Linked DNA regions of Arabidopsis thaliana. The protein of the gene in region 1 purifies or fractionates together with the protein of each later gene. This does not show direct contact. Each region holds a gene or a part of one and is shown on either strand. Other genes may lie near its edges.

Region 1 (4,005 bases):
TGGATCTGACCCATTTCTCTCTCAGAGATGTGAAGCCTTAATCAGGAAATGGAGGAGAAGGGAAAGAGGAATTGAAGAATCTGTAATCTGATCGTTTGAAATTTGGGGAAGATAGTGAAAGGAGAATAAAGTGGTTTGGGGTAGATATGTAATTATGAGGAAATAGAGGGGTGTTTGATTAACTTTTTAGAGTTTTGAAATTCTTTAGAAGACGCCGATTGGGTATGAATGATTATAAACCGGTTAGTTACCAAAATGAATTGAAATTGGGTGGATTGGTTTGGTTCTAATTAAATTCAACAACTTGTTTGGTTGCTTTGACCAAAGACCTTGTTATTTACCATCAAACTACGAACTCGTTCATTTTCTCGAAATTTCATTTAATTCCAACAATCAGTGCTTCACACTAGGTATAAGATACATATCTAGTTAATTTATAAAAATGGCTCTGAATCTCCTGGTTTCAATACACTAATAGTAGTACAGTAAGGAATATATGGTGTTTGGTGAATGTGGTGATTGAGACACAATATGAGTTTCTTTGAATCAGTATCGCCATGAGAATCGTGATTAGACCTTCAGATTGGCATTGTAATGATACCTTGTTTGTTGTTCATAGTTATGGACTTAAGACTCTAAGAGGAGCAATAAAAAGAGGTTGAAATGATGAAACAAGCACATAAGCATGAGAAATAACGTCTTCATTCTTAACCATGAAGAAGTTCAAACGTGGATCCAACCAAAGTCTAGCAAAGGACCAGACTTAACATAACATTAAAAGTTGTTCTACCAAACTCACATGATTCTCCACTGAAGAGAATTCATGAACACAATAAAAAAAACTACAGGAACAAAACATCAGAGTAGTATTTTAAAACCTCGTTTACGAGAGACATAAACAGAGATTAGGGAGAATTTTGCATAATTCTTCTACTTAGCAATCTGAGCTTGGTGCTCCTGCTGGTAGTTAAGAGGCCTCCTAAAGAGCATGATATGTGGCTCAGGACGATGAATCGCGTAATGAACCCATCCACGACTTTGCTGCACTCCGATGGCTCTCCATTCACTCTACAAAACCAGATTGTAAAACAAGAAAACTGTTAACTTCAAAATCAGAAAACTGAGAATTGACTGATAACACAAAAAAATATCTAAACTATCTTCGTCACTGCTGACAATTACACAACCTAAAGTTAATAAACAAGTTAATGAGAAGCAAAACTTCAAATTCCTAAGCAGAAACTTCAATTTCTTCGACTCTCAAAAGTCCAAACTTCAATTTCCTAACTTAATTTCTTAAACATGTAAATCTCTTAGCCTACGATGATTCAAGGGTTATACAGCGAATAGAGGAAAGCCCTAATTTTTAACTTACTTCCGAAAGAATACGATTCTTAGGTAAAAGCTTAGCAACTTCCGGAGGAAGTACAACGTGCCTGAGAGAAAAATAAAAGACCACGCGATTAGACTGAAACTAAAACGTGAGAGAGAACTCCATTAAAATGGGAGGAGAATCAAACTGAGAATCACCTGTATTCGAAAGTATCATCGAAATATTTGTCGGAGTACTGGATCTGACCCATCTTCTTAAATCACCCAACAAACGTCTATTAAATTTACTAAACAAAAGAAATGGAGCAATCTGTCAGTAATCTAAACCCTAAACAACGACGAGAACCTAAACAAATCAGAAATCGAACCCTAATCTAAGAATCGGGAAGTAAAGCAGACCTTGAGAAGAAGTGCGATCGGAAACGAAATGAATTTTAGGGGAGAAGAGGGAAAGCGAAAGGGAATTAAAAAGGCATTGTGGTAAGGAAGTAATTATGGGGATTTATAGGGGCATTTTCTCAACGGGTGTTTTGATTTTTTTGAGTTTCAAATTTCTTAGAGGCGCTCCTTCCCGCTTAGTGGAGCCCTAAAATTTTGATTACGGTTCGACGTTAATCAAACCGGTATAATTCCCGGTTCAGAGATTCATTTCTAAAGGCATCAGTATCTTCCTCTTATAGTCAGAGTTCAGGTGTCCGTATACTCGCCGGCTTTGTATACCTCCTTTGTTCGATATATAAACATCAGTGACAAAAAGAAAAAGATTTCAGAAAATTGAATTTCATTTTTGGGCACTAATATACAAAAAAAAATTAGCTTCGGATAATCATGACTAAACCCCCAAAAGAATGCCCTAATGTTTTAGACTTCCCCATTTACTTCCCCCTCTTATCTCTACTTCGTCTCTACCAAAACCAAATTCTCTAACCCTTTTGTGTATCTTTCTCTCTAGTTTCCATTACAAAGAAAGACACGTTAGGGGAGAAACCTGTACAAGAACGTGGCTACTACCCGAAATTAGATTAAAAAAGAGCATCCAATCGTTTCACCAACTTTCCAAAAACCAAAAAACAAAGACAACCTTGAGCTTACTCCTCCTTACTGGCCTCAGTTTTACTCACGGCACTCGGTGCTGGTACACTCTTTCTCAACATAGATGTTCCATGAAAGATCATCACCGAGTAGTCTTTTCTGTATTCTTTCACCTAATAACACACAAACACAGTGTGTATCAGAGATGGGATTCATTGGGAGTGTATATAAGTTTATATGGATATAGATATATACCTCTTCGTCGGTCATCTTGGTGAAACCAAATTTGTCAGTCCATATGGATTTGGCTTCATCTGCTGCTGGTAGCACGATATGTTTCACGTTTAGGAACCCAAGTAGCCTCTCGATGCAAGCAAACAGGCATTGGAAGTAACCCTACAATAGGAAAAAAAAAACATAAATTCTCAAACTCTCAAAAAAGAGCAATCACAAGCATTTCATCCCCCAGGTACAATTTGACACAAAAAAATTCCTTCTGCAATTAAGATGCTACACATTGTTCTGCTCTTAAGCTATTCGACACAAAAACATGTCTGCTTAGATGTATCACTGTATAATTTATCAATGTATGGGATTGACAGTAAGAGTGAGTCGTTTATTAACCATTCTATAGGAGTAGGCACCTGTTGTAAAGAAAAAACATCCAAGGTTCCAGATAAAAACTGTTTACCTGCCCTTGACAATCTTTGCTGGTAGCAACCAGAGGGAGTTCTGCAAGTTCTGACCCAAAAACCCTAAAGATTCCCACTGAAACAATCACTTCGCTGCACAAGAAACAAAAAAAGGACAACATTAAAAAGATGAAACATGCGTCACAGAAAATAAATTAGAGTGAAAAAGAAGAAGAATCTTACTCCACAGCCAACATAGTGCAGTACATGCCACTAAAATCTTGGGCCTTTGTTTGCCTTCTGTTCCACACACAAAAGTTGTTGATCAGCACAAAGAATAATCCACTCGACTGATTGAAGATACAAAATTGCTTACCCATACACCATGGCTGGTATCAAATCTCCCTTGGTCCCAGATTCACTGATAGGATCAAACCGTTCCTATAGCATACAATTGTTAGAAGGGACAAACAGCAGAAAGGACAGAAGAGTTTGAAATGTGGTCTTGACTTACATGAAGAATGGAAAGTGCCTTTGCAAGCAATATTTTGGTATCATCTGAAGAGGTCAACTTCCCACTAAGGACCCTCCATCTTATGTCAGGAGTGGTTTTATAATCTGGACAGTTTTCTTCATTAGGTTGTTCCTTCTTCCTTAAAAAATTCAGAATATTGTTACTTAGCTTCTCTTCTCCGCGAACTATCAGATTGCCCAATGTAGTGTTGATCTCTTCGCACCCGAGGGAACAGAACCATTTTTCTTCAGGTAGCTCCTGTTAAGACATAACAAGAATGAGAAAGATAGATACTGAGTTTTCACCCGAGGGAATGAAAGAGCTAAATAGGCAAAGAACCTTGAGATCAGCAATGTCACGTTCTTTCAAACAGCCAACATGGAATTCCTTTTCACACTGAGGAGAAAACAACAAAACCAAAAATGGTGAAGACCAGAAGCAGATTTAAGAGGCAAGGAACCCTATACAGCAATGAACAACAAAGTACCTGATCAC
Region 2 (4,420 bases), on another chromosome or scaffold:
ATCTCGTACTGCAAAGCAGATACCGAAGATCAGTGGATAGAAGGAAATGGTAAGAAAAATAACCCCTCAAGATAATATTAACCAGATATTATAACCTAACAAATCTCATTGATGGATATTGATTATTGGTGTTTTGTGGGATGATCCAGCGGGATCAATCAATATCAGCAATATATTGACTGGGAAATGCTTAGCTAAAATAACACCAAGCAGTGGGCCTCCAAAAGATGATGAGAGCAGCAGCAGTAATTGTATGGGAAAGAACTCAAAGCAAAGAAGAAACGCTGTAGCTGAAGCTTTGGAAGACATAACCGCTCTTTTCTACGACGAAGAACGCAATGAGATATACACAGGAAACAGACACGGCCTTGTTCATGTGTGGTCCAATTGATTTCACATACATCGTCATCGTTAGCTGCTACTACTACTACTACGAATGTATCATTTGGTTTCCTTCAATTGTGTGTAGCGATAAATCTTTTTAACTTAGTGTCTTTGAGCAGCCATCTGTGTTGTAAACCATTTGTGGGCAAGTGTGCGCGTCAGAATGCCAGTTGTGTACACTAATACCATTGTACGTAACATTTGGGTTTTGACAATTCTATGAAAGACCCTTTATTCCACCTGTAAGGTCTCACTTTAATTTTCAAAATTGACTTGATTCAGATAGTTGAGCATCAACTTTGTATGATTACACAAAAACAAGCGATTGATAGAAAATCATCTCATTGCTACCACACCATTGTGTTTTACATTCACTTGAGAATACAAGCTTTACCAGTTTCTTCTGAAAGACTACAAATCTCTAAACCAAACATAAGACACTAATGTGTCGGAAACAAAGATAGATCAAATGTTTAAATTCACCAAGACGATGACAACAGATACAGCAATGAACTTCAGAACTGAGACTTGTCAAGGCTGTCAAAATATGGGTGATCAAGTGCTGTTTTTGCTGAAATTCTTTCGGCTGGATTGTACTTGAGCATTTTCTGCAATTGTACAAACATAAGCTCAATCAGAAAGATTTAACCAAGCAATTCAGCTTAGGAAAAAAAGAGGGAAGCAGAAGCAAGAGGTAACAATATTAGAGCAACTTTGCAACAAAGCTATGGTCATCAGGGAGTTATTTACCGTGAGAAGATCAACTCCTTGAGGTGAAAGAGAAGGAACAGCAAGAGTTAAGTCTTGCGGCTCCCACTTAGGGTAAACATGCCAGTCACGCAGTGTGGAAACACCCGGCCATTGCTGCTCAGTTGGTGTTCCTAGCAACCTCCATGAACCAAATAGGAACCATTAGTAAAGATCATAGTCTCTATTCAAGAATGCTAAATCCATTGAATAATTGGTCAAAGAAACCTGGACTATATAGAATCAGTTGTTCTCAATTGGTAAGCTAGCATATCATTCAGTGATGCAATTCACACTGAAACAGGACAAAACCAGAAGAAGTAATGGAAGGTAAATTCAAAATACCTGAAGATATGAAGCAATTGCTGAAACTCAGAATCACCAGGGAAAAGAGCTTGCCTCCGAACCATCTCAGCTATACAAATTCAAAGATTGAAACAGCATAAATACAAAATCACATCGCAGAGAGACGAATTCAAAAACATAAAAGCATAATTGAGACTACTAACCAAAGATACAACCAACAGACCACATGTCAACACCAGTTGAATAATGAGTAGATCCAAGAAGAACTTCAGGAGCTCTATACCAAAGAGTAACAATCTCATGCGTATAAGACTTAAGAGGAACAGTAAAAGCACGACCAAGACCCAAATCAGCAATCTTAAGAAGCTCTTTATCTTTCACCAGAAGAAGATTCTGCGGTTTAAGATCACGGTGAAGCACACCATGACTATGACAATGCGCAACACCTTTACAAAGCTGAAACATCAACTTCTGAATCAAAAAAGGCTCAAGAGGCTTAGGATTAGGTCCTTTCCTATACGAATCGATGAATTTCTTAAGATCAGTATCGAGATACTCGAAAACGAGATAGAGATTGGATTTGGTAGATTGAGATTTGGTTGATGGTTGATGAACATGTTCGACGCAGAGTAATCGAACAACATAGATCGATGTTGATAACATCTGGAGAAGCGAGATCTCACGAAGAGCAGTTGGTGGAATACCTTCTTCGTCCATCTCGAGACGAGTTTTCTTCAGAGCAACAAGCTTACCAGTTCCTTTCTCCATCGCTTTGTAGACTTTCCCGTATGTTCCTTCTCCGACCTTCTCTAGCTTCTCGTACTTCTCCATTTCTGAGAGGTTTCGTAAAATTGAACTGTGTTGGTTTCTGGACTTTTGATTAACCCTATTATTTGATCAGATTAATGAAGATGATGGATTGTGAGAGAGAGAGAGAGAGATGCTTTCGCTAAGATACTTCCACGTCACTTCGTTTTTCCCGCTCCTTTGGATTTTGAATTCGTTCGTGACAACTGCAACAGATTAACCTAAAGTCGTGACCTCTGTGAATGTTTTTGGGGAAAACTAATTGGACTCACTTATTTTGGTCTAATCTGATATCTACTCAGATGATTTGCGTGAGTTGACGAGTTCAAATTCTTCACGAGTTATATCGGGAAGCCACATATCGATATCGAAACACCAATGGTGCGAATTAAAACATATTAATAGAAGATGAAGATTAGAACTTTCTGTTTCATGAAACAGATAACGAATGAAGAAATGTGATTTTGAACTTCAAAATGTACAAAACATTTTTTGAAAGCTACAAATTCCTATTCTCCACCAGCAATTTCTTCTTTTGCATCTTCATCAATTTCATCAACTTCATCTTTCTTGTCACCTACTAGCTCAGACACAATTTCCAGTCCTTTCTTTACTCTCTCTATCTCCTTCTCTTTCTCTTCCAGTTTCTCTTGCAATATTATCACCTGAGATTTATCAAAGTCACATATTTCCAACAAAACCATAATCATTCTTCCGTTTTAAGAAAAATCTTGAGGAATTAAGAGATAAGAGAAAAGGATCAACACCGTTTCATTTGATCTCTCAACATCATTAGTTAATTCCTCCATGTGTTTGTACAGTCCTGCATTCCACAAAAATCCTCAAATCCAAATTGCAAACTCTACAAAAATCTTTGCTATAACTTAATATCAACATATGACTTACCTTCAAATTGACTTCTAAGTTCCGCGTTTTGAGACTTCTGCATTGCAAGCTTTATTGCTAGTTCATGAATCTGCCATTCCACATGAACATAGGCAAGCATCAATTTCTTTACCCTTTTCAGGGAATCATGTTTTACAAAGGTTGAAGAAGACTACTGCTTTACTATATAATTCATATAATTCCAGATTGAAGACTGAGAGTAGAACAAACTATACCTTTCCTTCGGCAGCTTGGTGCCCAATCTCCTCATTTTCCTCTTGCAGGGTTCTGCACTTTGCCATAAGCATCTTTCCATTCTTGCTTTGAGGAGTAAAAGTAACTGCTGCAATGTTGTCCTGGAGTTCCTTGATCTTCTTGTCTTTTTCCTCTACTAGATTCTGCATAATAGAAACATGGAATCAAACTTCATCTACTCTTTACTTAACTGCAACAAATGTACATTAACAAAAAGTTGGGAATGTTCGTCCTCAACTGTATCTACTACGACAGTGTCAGCTATCAGTTATTAAGGAATTATTCTTTCAGGCCATTCATAACGAAAGCGGAATTTTGTTCCGTAGATACAGTTTGGATTATCTAAGGATATATTACGACAAATACATCCTTATGAAAAAGTAGTCTAAGGGTAAATAGAAACGAGTAGGTGCAGACCTTCAGACGTGAAAATTCTTCATGAATTGCTGGATCCAGTAACAACCTCCTCGCCTACAAAGGTAAACAAAGAATAAATAATCTACACTGCTATCTGATCATGACAAGCTGCTAAATGACCATTGCAATTCAAAATTTATAGCCATTTCTTCTATTCAGACTTGTTAATAATTCAGATGCCAGGTAAAGGTTTACAAGAAACATGCGCTTATCATCGTATTCAGACTGAAATCTAAAAGGCAAGGAAAAGGTTTCCCTCTACATGCATCAAGGTCGAGGATGACCGTCATAAAAGGTACACTACGGCATAAAAAGCGGACTATGCCTAGAAAAGTCCAAGTTACTTCAACAGCTAACTTTTTTCACGATTTGTATTGTTGGCACAATTGTATAAATTATTCCAGAATCAAAACATTGGGAGAACTATATACCTGCATTGACGCTGGCTTGAGTTGAGATTTCAAATCGCGAACAGCTGACTAGAAATACAAAATACAAGACTGTGTTTAGCGACATCTATTCTATGTAATGGTCAAGAAAACATGTGATAGCATCAGTCAGGAATCAAAGTGGTAGGCAATGAGTTTCTCGAGAATTACCTTCAATTCTGCCATTTCTT

What was found.
Region 2: the proteins of CKS2 (region 1) and CDKB1;1 purify together in Arabidopsis thaliana (affinity purification with mass spectrometry; 2 studies listed by BioGRID). This does not show direct contact.

The regions. Positions count from the first base shown.
Region 1 is NC_003071.7:11,911,530-11,915,534, forward strand, and holds CKS2 (CDK-subunit 2), read right to left. Parts: upstream 1,897-4,005; 5' UTR 1,732-1,896; intron 1,620-1,731; 5' UTR 1,584-1,619; coding exon 1,531-1,583; intron 1,437-1,530; coding exon 1,376-1,436; intron 1,069-1,375; coding exon 931-1,068; 3' UTR 622-930; downstream 1-621. Other genes in the region: CKS1 (cyclin-dependent kinase-subunit 1), read right to left, coding at 1-14; AT2G27980 (Acyl-CoA N-acyltransferase with RING/FYVE/PHD-type zinc finger domain-containing protein), read right to left, coding at 2,421-2,537, 2,620-2,760, 3,056-3,149, 3,240-3,296, 3,373-3,437, 3,511-3,768, 3,850-3,906, 3,998-4,005. UniProt on the Arabidopsis thaliana protein: Binds to the catalytic subunit of the cyclin dependent kinases and is essential for their biological function.
Region 2 is NC_003074.8:20,057,730-20,062,149, reverse strand, and holds CDKB1;1 (cyclin-dependent kinase B1;1), read right to left. Parts: upstream 2,480-4,420; 5' UTR 2,269-2,479; coding exon 1,641-2,268; intron 1,547-1,640; coding exon 1,477-1,546; intron 1,274-1,476; coding exon 1,135-1,273; intron 993-1,134; coding exon 900-992; 3' UTR 662-899; downstream 1-661. Other genes in the region: AT3G54190 (Transducin/WD40 repeat-like superfamily protein), read left to right, coding at 1-49, 150-391; FIP37 (FKBP12 interacting protein 37), read right to left, coding at 2,754-2,909, 3,012-3,067, 3,151-3,220, 3,366-3,527, 3,802-3,855, 4,233-4,280, 4,401-4,420. UniProt on the Arabidopsis thaliana protein: May control G2/M (mitosis) phase progression. Plays a role in regulating seedling growth in darkness via regulation of hypocotyl cell elongation and cotyledon cell development. Plays a role in stomatal development. Required to suppress endoreduplication.